Struthio camelus: one gene and its partner. The protein of the gene in region 2 interacts with the protein of the main gene of each other region in a pairwise test. Links are inferred from orthologs where the notes say so. Each region holds a gene or a part of one and is shown on either strand. Other genes may lie near its edges.

Region 1 (7,001 bases), on a different chromosome or scaffold from region 2:
CTAAAAACTGGTGCGAAGCTGAGCTTTTCCTTTAGCTCTCTGACACACTTGACATCTAACCACGGCGGTGCTTCCAGCAACGCCTCTGGGTTACTTAATAATCAGCCTGCTATCAGCCCTGATTCATGGCTCATTCATTTAACTATTTTAATTCTCTGCATATTTACTTAAGCGGTTTCCCTCGTGCCGCTGTCGCAGCCTCCGCTCTGACGCTTCCCAATTTCGGCGAGCGCCCGGGCTGCTTTCGGCGAGCGCCAAGCGGCGGCTCAGCCCGGCGAGACCCTCCGAGGGAGAGAGCGGGAGCTGGTCCGTCTCCCCGCAAGTATTCCCAGGCGCGGGAGCCGTGCTTTCCACTTCCAACCAGATTATTTTCACTCAGCTGGGTCTAAGGTTTCATAACCTTACTCTGGTTAAAAATAGACTCTGCCTACTATGCAACAGTAAAACCCAAACTACTCGGTGCCACAGAATAGCAGCATGAATCAGTTCGTAGTACCACGAGTTTATTCTCATGCCAGAGACTGAAAAAGCAAAACACCTTCCCCGGGAAGAATATAAGAAGTGCTTACTTGACCGAATAATTTTCAAAAGCACGGGGAAAAATCCAAAAATAATAATAAAAAAAAAGCTCAGCAAGCCCCCAGCTGTGATATTTTCTGTCAAGCCATTATTTCTTGCTGGCAACTTGAAAGGTAAATAAGAAACATTAGCAAATGCATTAAAGGTTATCTGACACGGCCCAAACGAAATGAGGTTCAAATACACTCAGCCCAGATTGTACTGTAATAAATATGAAAACAGCAAAGTGCGCTTTGTCTAGGAAAATCCTCTATTTGATTACACCTTATGAATAATTCACGCCAGGTTTCCATATTTGTCCTCCTGTAGGTACACACTGTGCATTACCTTGCCTTCTATATAGACGCACACATTTCCTGCACTAAATTATTAAAGGCTTGCCAGGAGCTGCAGAGCCTCGCCGAGCGGAGAACAAACGCGCTATCCCGAAAATAAACCTCTGAACCTTGACGGGCCTCATCCGCAAAGCGCTTAGCAAAAAAACTCTCGTGGAAAACCAGAAAAACAACAACAACAAACAACAACAAAACCTCCACTTGCTGGTGACTTGATAATTTGCTGTAACAAACGACTTGACTTTTAGGTTTGCAAATGGCTCCGAGCGTTTTCTCTCCCGTCCCACCGATGCTTTGTAATTAGGCGCGTTAGTAAGCCGGGACTGCTTTAGAGAAGGGTTGTGGCATGTGTCAGCCTCTTCCTAAAGCGAGATTATGTAACTCGTAGGTGACAGATCCTTGCGGGGAGGGGAGGGAGGGGGAAGCAAAAAATACACATTGAGGAAACTTTACTAGATATTTTCTCAGGTGCAAGCTAAAGCCCAAATTGGTTATTTCGAGGAGCAAAGGAGGCCGGGGCCGGCGGGCCGGGCGCGGGGAGGCTGCCGGAGCCGCCGGGCCACGCCGGTAGGTGTTGCTGTAGCGACGGGAAAACATCCCCAGCCGGGCAAATTTGGGGAAGAGAGAGCCGTCAAGCCGCCTCCCCCCCCCCTTTTCCTTCCCCCCCCTCCCACCCCCCCCGCCGGTTCTTTCAACATCAGAAAATTGGAACCGCAGCCTTAAAGATGGAGCAGGCTCCTGACTTAACTGACAAGGGGAAAATTGAGTGCAACTCGGAAAAAAAAAAATACATACATATATACATATATATATGCGTGTGTATACACATATATATAGCGCAGCGTTTCCACCTTGCCGCTCCGACACGGCCGTCGGGCAGGGGCAGCGGGCCCCCCTCGGCGGCAGGGTTTGGAGCCCCCCGTCGGGGCCCTCCCGTCCGTGTCCTCCGCTTCTGCCCCGCCGCCCCCGGCCCCGCCGCGGCGCTCCCGTCCGGGCCCCCGCGGCCGGGCACCGAGCCCGGCACCGAGCCGGACCGAGGGGCACCGGGCCGCGGACCCCCACCGAGGGGAACCGAGAGGGCGCCCCCGGCCGAGGGGCATCGAGCAGAGGACCCCCCCCCCAACCGAGGGGAATTGAGACGGGGACCCCCGACGGAGGGTCACCGAGCCTGGGACCCTCGACCGAGGGGAACCGAGCCGAGGACACCCGACCGAGGGGCACCGACATAGAGACCCTCGACCGAGGGGAACCGAGACGCGGACCCTCGACCGAGGGGAACCGAGACGGGGACCCTCGACCGAGGGGAACCGAGCCCGGCACCCGGACGGAGGGGCACCGACATAGAGACCCTCGACCGAGGGGCACCGAGATGCGGACCTTCGACCGAAGGGAACCGAGCCCGGCACCCCGACCGAGGGGCACCGAGGCGAGCACCCCCGACCGAGGGGCATCGAGCCGGGGACCCCCGACGGAGGGGCACCGAGATAGGGACCCTCGACCAAGGGGCACCGAGCAAAGGACCCCCGACCACGGGGCATCGAGCGGGCGCCCCCGACCGAGGGGCACCGAGTAGGGGACCCCCGACCGAGGGGCACCGAGTAGGGGACCCCCGACCAAGAGGCACCGAGCCGAGGACCCCCGACCGCGGGGCATCGAGCGGGCGCCCCCGACCGAGAGGCACCGAGTAGGGGACCCCCGACCGAGGGGAACAGAGACGGGGACCCCCGACCGAGGGGAACAGAGACGGGGACCCCCGACCGCGGGGCATCGAGCGGGCGCCCCCGACCGAGGGGCACCGAGTAGGGGACCTCCGACCGAGGGGCACCGCTCCGGGCACCGATCTCGACCCCGCAACGGCGGAGCACGGAGCCGCATCCCCGAGGACGCCCCCTCCTCCACGTCTCCCCCCAGCCCAGGGCACCCGCAGCCCTACCTGCGGCTCGGCGCGGCTCGGCGGCGGCGGTGCCTGGCGCGGCGCCTCCCGCTGCTGCCGCTGCCGCTGCCGGGGCTGCGCCGCGCCGCGCTGCGCTGCCCTTTTTCGTCAGTGGAAAACTCCGGGGCTCTGACGCAGGCGGTGACAGGGCGAGGAGACGGCGCGGCCCGGCCTGCCCGCCCGGCTTCCTGCCCCCCCCCCCCCCGGCTCCTTCCCCGTCCTTCCCGCCCCGTCCCTCCACCACCACCCCCCTCCCCGCCACCCCAACCCCAACGCCGGCCCGGCAGGCGGGAGCCTCCAGCCGCCGCGGCGCTGCCCGGGCGCCGACCGCCCCGGCGGGGGGCGCGGAGCCGCCGCGGGCGACGGGCTGCTGCCTCCCCCCCCCCCGCCGCCGCCGCCCCCCTACATCGTCGCCCCGCGGGGGTGGCGGCGGCGGGGCTGGGTGCCGCCAGTGGAGGAGCGGGGGGGGCACACAACGGGGTGGGCTTCAAAGGGGTCTGAGTTCCCCAAAAGGGGGTCTGGGTCCCCAAAAGGGAGATGGGGCCCCAGAAGGGGTTTGCGTGCCCAAAAGGGGTCTGGGTTCCCCAAAAGGGGTCTGGGTACCCAGAAGGGGTTTGTGTGCCCAAAAGGGGTCTGGGTTCCCCAAAAGGGGTCTGGGTACCCAAAAGGGATCTGGATCACCAAAAGGGGTCCAGGTTCCTCAAAAGGGGTCCAGGTACCCAAAAGGGAGATGGGGCCCCAGAAGGGGTTTGCGTGCCCAAAAGGGGTCAGGGTTCTCCAAAAGGGGTCCAGGTACCCAAAAGGGGGGGGTGTTGGGTCCCCAAAAGAGGTTTGGGTCACCAAAAGGGGTCTGGGTCCTCAAAAGGGGGATGGGTCCCCAGAAGGGGTTTGCGTGCCCAAAAGGGGTCTGGGTTCCCCAAAAGGGAGATGGGTACCCAAAAGGGGGATGGGTCCCCAGAAGGGGTTTGCGTGCCCAAAAGGGGTCTGGGTTCCCCAAACCGGATCTGGATCACCAAAAGGGGTCCGGGTTCCCCAAAAGGGGTCTGGGTCCTCAAAAGGGGGATGGGTCCCCAGAAGGGGTTTGCATGCCCAAAAGGGGTCTGGGTTCCCCAAACCGGATCTGGATCACCATAAGGGGTCAGGGTTCTCCAAAAGGGGTCTGGGTTCCCAAAAGGGGTCTGGGTCCCCAGAAGGCGTTTGCGTGCCCAAAAGGGGTCTGGGTTCCCAAAGGGGGGTGTTGGGTCCCCAAAAGAGGTCTGGGTCCTCAAAAGGGGTCTAGGTCCCCAGAAGGGGTTTGCATGCCCAAAAGGGGTCTGGGTTCCCCAAAAGGGATCTGGGATCACCAAAAGGGGTCAGGGTTCTCCAAAAGGGGTCTGGATTCTGAAAGGGGGGGGGTTGGGTCCCCAAAAGAGGTCTGGGTCACCAAAAGGGGTCTGAGTGCCCAAAAGGGGTCTGGGTCCCCAGAAGGGGTTTGCATGCCCAAAAGGGGTCTGGGTTCTCCAAAAGGGAGATGGGTTCCCAAAGGGGGGCGTTGGGTCCCCAAAAGAGGTCTGGGTGCCCAAAAGAGGTCTGGGTCCCCAAAAGGGGGTTGGGTCCCCAAAAGGACTTTGGGTCACCAAAAGGGGTCTGGGTTCCCCAAAAGGGGGTCTGGGTCCCCAAAAGGGAGATAGGTCACCAAAAGGGGTTTGGGTGCCCAAAAGGGATTTGGGTCATCAAAAGGGGTCTGGGTTCCCCAAAGGGGGATTAGGTCCCCAAAAGAGGTCTGGATCCCCAAAAGGGGCTTGGGTCACCAAAAGAGATCTGGATCCCTGAAAGGGGTCTGTGTGCCCAAAAGGGGGGTGGGTTGCCAAAAGGAGTTTGGGTCCCCAAAAGAGGTCTGGGTCCCCAAAAGGGATTTGGATGCCATGCCCAAAGGGATGGGTCCTCAAAAGGGGTCTGGGTTCCCAAAGGGGGGTTGGGTCCCCGAAAGGGGGCTGGATCCTATGAACATAGACTGGTCCCCAAAAGGGGTCTGAGCCCCCAAAATGGGTTTACATCCCATAAGCAGAGGTTGGCCCTCAAAAGGGGTCTGGGTCATCAAAAGGGATTTTGAGCCCCAAAAGGGGTCTGGGTTCCCAGAAGGGGTCTGGGTCCCCAGAACGGGATTTGGATCCCATAAGCAAATGTTGACCCCTGAAACAGGTTTGAGTCCCCAACAGAGATTTGGGCTCCACAAGCAAAGGTTGGCCCCCCAAAGGCATCTGGATGCCCAAAAGGGGTCTGGGTCCCCAAAAGGGGCTTGGACCCCATAAGCAAATCTTGGCTCCCGAAAGAGCTCTGGGTTCCCCAAAAATATCTGGGTCCTGAAACGGGGTTTGGGCTCCATAAGCTGGAGCTGGTCCCCAAAAGGGGTTTGGATCCCATAATGGCCCCTGAAAACAGGCGGGGGCGGGGGGGCGCGAGGCTTTTAGGATGAAATTAAAACGCGAGATGCTTTATCAGGTGCAAAAACGATGACTGCTAAAGCCGCCGTGGCTCAGCATCCGGGGGACGGTAGGAAACGCGAACACCCCCCCCCCCCCGCCACCGCCCTCGGCAGGGCAGCGGAGTGGGCGAGCGGCTCCGCGCGAGAGGGGAAGGAAGACGGTTTTAATAAAAGACGCCCGGCAGCGACCGCGAGCGCCGCGGGCCCCGGTGTCCTGGCGGCGCACACAGAGCCTTTCTTTAGCCACCCCCCCCTTTTCCGCACCATAATATTCCCTTTATGCAACGCTGAGCTAAAGCAACCCGGCGTTGAACCTCTGGTGCCGGGCAGATGAGGTATGCCAGCGCGCCGCCACGGTCGGGCCGAATGACGGGCAGGCTCGTGGACGTGTTGGGGTTTCACGACTTACTGGCTAACGACGAGAAATAAAAGGCTTTATTTCTTTTATTTTATTTTATTTATTTTGTTGTTGTTGTTGTTGTGTGCGCTGGAGGTGCATCAGGCGGCAGCTTCCGCCCCGCACGCGAGCCCGAGCCGCCCGCTCTGCTGGCGGAGAGAAATTGCAACACCGGCGGCTCGCGGAGGGCGGCGGGTTGCTTGCAGCGTCCTTTAGTCGCAGCGGCGCGGCCCGTCGCCGGCCTTGTTTTCTCCTTTGCGTTTATTTGTTCCAACAGTAGTAAAGCTGCTGTGACCTAAGTCCCGGGCAAGACAAAAACCCTTTAGCAACTCAGGGCCAACAGTCGGGACGAGCGGTTCTGACCTCAGACGTGTCCGAGTGTGAGAAAGGCATTTTGAAGCAAAACTTTCGGGCTTTTCCTTCCGAAGCACTGCTTTTCCTTTAAAAAAGCAGCCTAAAGGCACGGCACGGCCCAAGAAGTAAACGCTTACACCCCAGGATAAATAACCCTCCAACGATGTAAGACGTTTTTCCTGCGTAGGTTGCGTGAAGTTGTTCTCAGTTTGACTCAACGCGGGTTTTGCTGTTGCGACTCCTTCCTCCTTCCTCCCAACCAGTGGATTTCGGAGAGAAAAACAACAGCAACAACAAAAATTTTCTGTTTAACCTGGCGGCGGCGGCGGCAGCAGCCGGGAGGCGAGGTGAAAAAAGGGCTCCGAGTTGGGTTTTCTCCCCCGAAAGGCGGACATCAAAGCGACAAGGCGAAGGCTTCGGTTCAGCTGCGGGCTCCGGGCTGTTCACCTCAACTGGGAAACGATGGGTCTGTACTGGGACGGCACAGTCCTTTCTTAATATATCATTTTATATATATGGCGCTCTGGTGCTGCTCCTGGGTTTGGGGGGGGGACGACAAAACCTCAAAAAAGCCCCCCAAAAAAGAGGAGGGAGCTGTGAGCGGCAGCAAAGGCAAAGAAGCAGCAACATGGCGCCCGTGAAGCGCTGACCCCAACACCCAGGGGGCGGCAAAGGCGGCGCCGGGGCCTCCCGCCTCTCCGGCGGCAGCTACGGCCCGGCTTCTCGGCGGCCGGGCTGGTTGGCAAACGGTGATGTTCCCCCCGCCGAAAAACCTCGCCGCCGCGCCGTTGTTTGTCGTCTCGGGCGGACGAAGGCCTGCCTCGCTCTGCGCCCTACGCCCGACTCGCCCCAGGTGCGCTGCGGCCCTAGCGACGGCGAGGTGAGAGACGTTACCGGGCCTCGCCGGCCTTATTTGTCGGAAAGCGTCGCTTGTGAAAA
Region 2 (7,273 bases):
CCTTCCCCCCAAGACCTCTGAACTTTACAGAGTTTCAACTTCGAAGAAAGCCTCATGAATAACATTGAGCTAATACAATAATAACTGAGATAATACAACACTACCGTTGCCAGATATCCTCATTGACCAGAAGAGTTACCTCCTAGTCACAGATCTATAAGAAGCAAAGTACACGATCTCAGAATTACTGCAAAGCCATTCCAGAAATCTCTCCCTCAATTACAGAACTCTAGAAATGTAGTACAGGAGGCAAAATGAATCTTCTGTTTCTCTGTACACAACGGAGTAGAATCACAGAGAACAAGGCAAAGAAAATTATGTTAAAATATCATGTAAAAACATTTTTAAAAACAAAAGAAAAGAGTATAGGAATAATAAACAATCTGATAGAGCAATAGTTTTGTACTGCATCACCCACATTAAAGAGACTGCTTTAACTATAGTAGCCTTAACTAGTCTGGAGTTATACTCTCCCTACCCTGAATTTCTCTTACTGGATCCATTCTCTCACAGCTTTCTTTGCCAGAGAGGGGGTTTGCAAGAGAGAGATTGGCAGCAGTAGATTGTACTCACGGGAGGATGTATATAAAAGGCTAATTTTTATCCTGATTTGGAACTGCTTCCCCTAGAACCTGCATTTTTCATTAGAATGGGAAATCTATTTCCTAAAACAAACAAACAAAAAAAGACTGCATAATGAAGTTATCAAGCCTCAGGGATCAAGACCCAATGTACAGTTCTCAGCACACTTTTCTGATAAGATCAAACAAACATGTATGGACTTAATGAGGAAGGAAAATCTGCTGCCCTTACCAGGCTTAGCACAACTCTCTTCATTTGGCATCAGTACATATGCTGGAGCAAAAAAAAAAAAAAAAAGAAAAAAAGAAAGGACTAAAAATGGTACAGCTACACCTTGTGAGTGACAACTCTGACTTTCCTCACTGGTAACAACTAGCTGAGAATATTCTTTATGAATTAAACCACTTTTACTACAGCTGTTGAGTTGTAGACGTTCCAGCTGATGTTACAATGAAAGCACGCATCCCAACAGAGCTTTTACCTTGCTGAAGGCTTCTTTTAATAATTACTTGCAGGCTTAAATTCCAGTATACCACAACTGAAGTAAATGTTCTGTCTGCAGTGTCTTTTCATAACATATTGTGCTGAGAAAATAAATCAATACACTATAAAAATGAAACACGTAAATCATAAAATCTGTCGTGAACTTTTGAGGGTGACTAGGTATTTTTTGATCATTTGTTGAACGAACATACTTATTGCTTCAACGTTCAGTTTCTAGCTCAGCCTCAGCTCCACGCTACTTCCTTTTACCATTTACTTGTTGGGGATATAGTTACGTTAGATATCACTTTACCATTCTATTACAGGTCTTCCATTGAGAAATTAAATAACTTTTTCCCTTTAGAAACATATTCCTTTACATGCAGAAGAGCACATATGTTCCCCACTCCTTTACAAATAAATTATGTTACAAACAAAGCATATTTGTAAGATATTAACAACTTTTAAAAATTCTTCTGCTAAAATACAAAAGGGAATGCTTAATACATATAAAGTCTAAACATTTGAGAGCTTTCAACGATGCTTGACATATACCGATTGAAAACAGGAAGGATGTGACATACACTTGAAATGGATTTTTAAAGTCCTTAGTTATGAAAAACAAAACTACATTGCTGAATAAAAGTGTGAACTCTTTCATTCCATTCCAAATCGATGTCAGCAGTTGACTTATCTGAATACATCAATGCTGCGTGGAGACTAACACAATAAATCTCAAAAAAATTCCCACAGTACCATCAGCACGGATATTCATCCTGCAATTTTCAAGTTTAGCCTCTTCCGCAATGAGGATTACAGCCGCTCATGACAAATCACTAGGGTAATTACGACAGTGCAGAGAAGCAGCCCTGCCGCATGCATTTGGATAAAACCAGCTGACGTTTGCTTGACAGGAAAATCAACTGGAGACCACAGCTCACCTGGAGGGCTTAGGGAGTTGGTGTGTCTACCCCAGTGGCCGACCATCGGCACTGTAACGGGGGTGTCGGACACTAGTGTAAGACACTACATGCAAATCTGACTGCAAATTAGTTTGCGATCGCTCCCATAAAAACCGTGGCCCAGTGCAATTTCTAATGGATCCCACACAGGGATCTGAGGAGTGTGCTAACTCCATGCCTTTTATTTCAAATTCGCCATTAAAACTTCCTCAGAGGTCTTTCTCCCACAACTCCTCGGACGCTTCCCGCTGAAGTCGGGTCCGCTGCCGTATTGCTTAAGGGCAAATTTTTGCCCCCTTTCTCGGTCTCCTCGGCACGCCGAAGACAGACAGAAAAGCAAGCACTGACCTACCCACCACCACCACTAACTCCTCAGGAAACGCTTCCTGCGCCACGCCGTCCTTCACCGATTCTCCTTGGGTCTGCTCCTGCTCGCGGCCCCGCGCGGCCGGAGCCGGGGCCTGCCACGCCTGTCACCCCACCACGGAAGAAACGGGACCAGCCTGGCACCCGCCTCAACGCGCCACCCGGCGAAGCAGCGCGGACGGCTCCTCTCTGCGGGCGTCGGGGGCCGCCGCCGGGCGGGCCGAGCCCGCGGCCGCCGACGCCATTTCGGGGCGCTCCGGCGCCCCCGCGCCGCGCCGCTCGCTCCCGCCGCCCCCTCCTCACGGGCCGCGCTCCCAACGCCCGGAGACGGGCAGCAACGTCTCCCCGGCATCCCCTGACAGGCAGCGCGGGGGGAGCCTATGCGCCTCGCTGCCGCTGCCCTGGCGAAACGCACAGCTTCACCGACAAACCACCCCCCGGCACCGAGGCTGGCGCCGTTACCTCCGCGCCGGGCCTCAACATGGCGCCTCCCCCCCCCCCCGCCTAGCTCGCCGCTTCCTGCCTCCGCTGCGGGCAGCGCAGCCGCCGCCATCTCGTGCGGGGTCAGCGGCAGCCCGCTCCGCCCCGCTGGGCGCCGGCCTGGGTAGCGGGCCGTGGGTGCCGCTCTCAGACGGTGTGTTTCCCAAATAGCGGGGGAGAAAAAGGGCTTTGGCCCTGCTCCGTCCTGAGCCTTAGGGAAAAAAAAATTGTTAATGCGTAATTTTAAAATTTAACCTCCGTGTCGGTGTGTTCCTTCTCAAGCAAACGCAGCTAGTGCAAGCCGGTATGACACGTAAATGAGTATCCTGTGTGAAGCTAACAGGGGCAAAACCATTGTAAACCTTCCCATTTTTCAGCGCTGTGCTGCATTACTTTTAAGCATAAACAACTAGCTGGTTGAATGATGAATTGAGCTGTCGGTATGCACAGGGTTAAAGCTAAATATTATAAAGCACGCGTCACAGGGTAACAGCTTTTGGATATAATGACAGGTGCTGAACTTATTCAGCAGTCAACATCTAAAAGTTGATGCATTTTAGTCAAAGCTAATACGTTTGTTATTGACTTTTTATTGCTGTGCTTTCCCCTGTCACATATATTTTACATTGGACATTCAAAATGCTTGCCTAAAAGATTAATACACCTAGTCCGTTCTACAGCAAATGCAGAGGTGTACGGAGGAGTTTATCCCCAATTACAGTGGAAAAGCCGGGTCATTTCTTAAGACGTTTTTGTGTTTGTTTACTAATGAGGCCTTTGGAGCCCTCTGCTGACAATGAGGGCTCCTACCTGAAATCAACTTGCCAAATGCATTTTTCAACTTGAGTACCATATAAGGCAGACACACCTCTTCCCCTTCCCCCCTTTTTTACATAATAAACATCACCAGCACTAATCACAAAAGGGGAAAAAACCCTAGCATTATTGTATATGCTATTAAAAATGGTATAAGAATAAGCAAATTATTAAATCATTGTAATGAGCCAGTGAATCAGTGTTCTTTATTGCCTACTATTACAATGTGTTAAGCTGTCAGGGTCTGTGGAGTCTGAAGTGATGCAGTGATGCAGTGGTTGATTTGTACATTGATAACTGAGGAATCTTAAATGATTGCTAATTTCATGTAATAATTAACTCACCTCACAATTTATGTGTGTCAAGCTAACAAATTCATTAGTGATTGAACACACGCTGCAATGGTTAGTGTTGTTCCACATGGCTACATATTGCAGGCAAACAGAGACCACAGTTGAGATCTGGCTTCCTCCGTGCCTCCTCTCTCTGGCCCGTACAGCAACAAAGTGCGGGACAAGGCTTATCCCCGAGAGTCCATAGTATAACCAGATGAGAGGAGGCAAAGAACTTGGGACAGAGGAGGTGACTTTCCCGACCCCTCTCAGCAAACCGCTGACAGACCAGGAACACAGTCCAAGCCTTCCAAGTCCAAATACAGCACGTCATCCAATGGGCTATCTTACATGTATTTATGTTTTTCTGCAGCATGCGTATATCATTAGCTTAGCAGCAGCTGTCATTGCAGTATCCGAGACTTTCAGTTTAGTCTCAGTTTGAGGATCCCAAGAGAAGGCTCTCCGATGCTAGTTTTCTTTAACCTTTTTCTGTCTGCTAAGATTGCGAGTGTGGTATGTAGAGAACTCTTTACACCCTCCGCTTGAAAGTGCATTGCCCATGACAAAGACAGAGAGCTCCCTTGGCAGAGAGAAGCACAGGAAGGAGCACGACTCGCTGCCTCTCGCCATTACCCCTCTTTGAGCAGGGCTCAGAACACAGGACGTCCCTCTCGGGGCAGGTTCGGAGGACTGATTCCCGCTTGAAGGACTGCATAGGCTTCTCCTTTAAATCATCTTTGTGTTAATGAATAACGAGTCATTGTTCCAGGTTCCCATTTATAAAACAGGGACAATAATGCTTTCTCAATTACTCCTGAAGTAAAACAGAATAAAAATATGATAAACATGATATACATTCTAAATTCATACCTATGTTTATATGTGTGTAATGATATATACGTACATCTTTGTACATTTTTTCAGGATCAAATCAGTGCTACCATAACATCTACAAGTTCCGAGTTCATGAGACTTTAGTATTGGCTGTGGTATGTGTCTACTACTCTAAAAACATAGACTGCTATTCAAAAAATGATATATTCTGCCAGCTGCAAAAGATATTTACAGAACTAGCTGGAAAAAAGTTGGTCAAACAATATTCATCATAAGATTCAGGCACAGAATCAGTTTCAAATAAGCTTTACTAAAAAGAGATTTCTTCCAGAACAACAGTTCTTTTTAAAGAAAAAAAGATCAAAACAAAATAGATGGGTGATATTTATGCTATGAAATTAATTTTTACATTTTTATTTCATTTTTAAAATTATGTCTTATCAGGGACTAACAATGCCTGCTGTTTTATCATAAAATGTTGCTCCTTTATCATATAATCCCACACTGATATGACACACCATTTTGTGACATACTGTAATAGTTTAACATTTCTGAGTTTAAATCAGCTGTGGTTTAGCATCGTCTGCCTGCTATCTACAGAAAGACTGTATTAGCATAAGAACGCATGTGAATGCGTGTGGCATGCCATCAGGCAGAAAACATCCTGCAAAATTGCCACAATTATTACTTGATTTATTTATTAATGTATATGTATATCTATGAAGGAGATCACAGATCAAGCCCTGGCTGTGTGATCTGAACTTTCTAAAACCCTGCGCACAGGTAATAGTAGCATCTGTTTCTTATGGAATGGAATCAAGGAAACTGCCTTGAAAACCTAAAAAGGAAATGGTTGGTCACTTGCTAGAAATACTCCTAGATAGGGAGGGAAGGTCAATTTCTGCTCTCAGTAATATCAGTATAAAAGTGTCAGCAGTGAAATCAGATGAGTAATAGGTTTACACAAATATGGCTGAGAACAGAATTTGTCTCCATGTCTTCAGCAGAAAGCTTGAATGCCAAAGTTGTGATGAATGATTAAAAAATACCCTTTCTTCCTGACTGAAAATCAAAGACTACTAAGTAAAGTTACAAATACCATTATTGAAAATACTATTCGTCCTATAAAGAACCATAATCCTATTTAATTTATATTTCATGCAGCCTTTTTAAATACATTTGTATAGCACTGAATTGGCCATGGGATAGTTTCATACTAAATCTCCCTGGAACTATGACTGTTTGCAAAAATGAAACAAGAGGTGGCAACAATTCAGACACGCTATATTAACATGGCTGAATAAAACAGATTTTTTCAGAATTACAGCCATTTTCTAGCACAGGCTCTGAAATGTGATTTTTAATATTGTGTTTCCTGCCTAAGAAGAATTATATCATCCTTGAAAAATCTCGAAAGCCAAGAACAGTACTGACTGATGAAGCAGAAGGGCCCCCAAACTTCTTAGTGTTAGAGGAAGGATGTTGCTGGAATAACGGAGGAAAAAGTGACAAGCAGAGACAGGTACTGCAAAAAGCAGACTTTGGAGAAGTTGAAGGTGTGGGAGGCTAATAAGAAGATATTTTCCAGTGATTTTGAAGACTTCTTTCCAACTGAATTCCTCTGGGAGCATGTAGCCCTGATCGGCCAATAAGTTCATGCCTCAGTCTGTCAATGGCAGGAGATTTAACTTATTTGCAATTTTTTCTGACCTCACATCCAACAGACATTACCCAGATGAGGCATCTGTCTTTTGACAGGGGAATGTAAGCCAAAAGAAGACTTTTAACTTTGCATGCAGTTTGAGTGGAAGTATGCAAGTATATATGTCCTAGCATAAGGCCCTCAAATCATTTCCATCTTGTGTAGGAAGGCAGCTGGGATAGCAGGAAAAGCAGAAGTACACAACATATTCAAAATGATTTGTTTATTTAATAATTTAATAGATTGATTGACTTACTAAATCTTGTAGTAAGAGGATACATTAATATGATTAGGGAGCAGTAAGACCATGCACAAGAAAATATCCCTCATCATATACCTGCTTTCCTATTTCTCCTTTATTCCAATGAATGATCATTATCCTGGGTTACCTTTCCTGCTCTAAGATTGCCTAATGTCAGATTTCTCCAATGTTTTGTTATGTAGCAATCAGTTGGTTTCAGTGGGAGGATATCATAACAAAATTTGTGCCATGGGCTATTATAAGTACTTGTTTGCCTTGTCTTAGTTGAGGGTAAGCCTTCACTATTCACCAGCTATTATGGCAATCCTGGTTACAGTATTGGTGGTTGAAAACGGTGTCTAAACAATGATGAGAAATTTCACCTAAGAAGAAGTAAGCGTGACTGAAATTTTGCACGCGATGTTATGGTAGGTTGGATCATGCGGATTATTTCATTGTTCTTATTGTGATT

What was found. The genes of interacting proteins can lie anywhere in the genome.
Region 1: the proteins of TCEANC (region 2) and CSRNP1 interact in binary tests that used the Homo sapiens proteins (3 or more experiments, as listed by UniProt). The two-hybrid records come from large-scale screens. The link is inferred for Struthio camelus from reciprocal best matches to the Homo sapiens genes TCEANC and CSRNP1.

Annotation. Positions count from the first base shown.
Region 1 is NC_090943.1:6,779,061-6,786,061, reverse strand, and holds the start of CSRNP1 (cysteine/serine-rich nuclear protein 1), read right to left. Parts: upstream 3,048-7,001; 5' UTR 2,848-3,047; intron 1-2,847. UniProt on the Homo sapiens protein: Binds to the consensus sequence 5'-AGAGTG-3' and has transcriptional activator activity. May have a tumor-suppressor function. May play a role in apoptosis.
Region 2 is NC_090942.1:140,517,859-140,525,131, forward strand, and holds the start of TCEANC (transcription elongation factor A N-terminal and central domain-containing protein), read right to left. Parts: upstream 3,057-7,273; 5' UTR 2,947-3,056; coding exon 2,856-2,946; exon of another isoform or gene 2,809-2,855; intron 2,663-2,808; exon of another isoform or gene 1-2,662.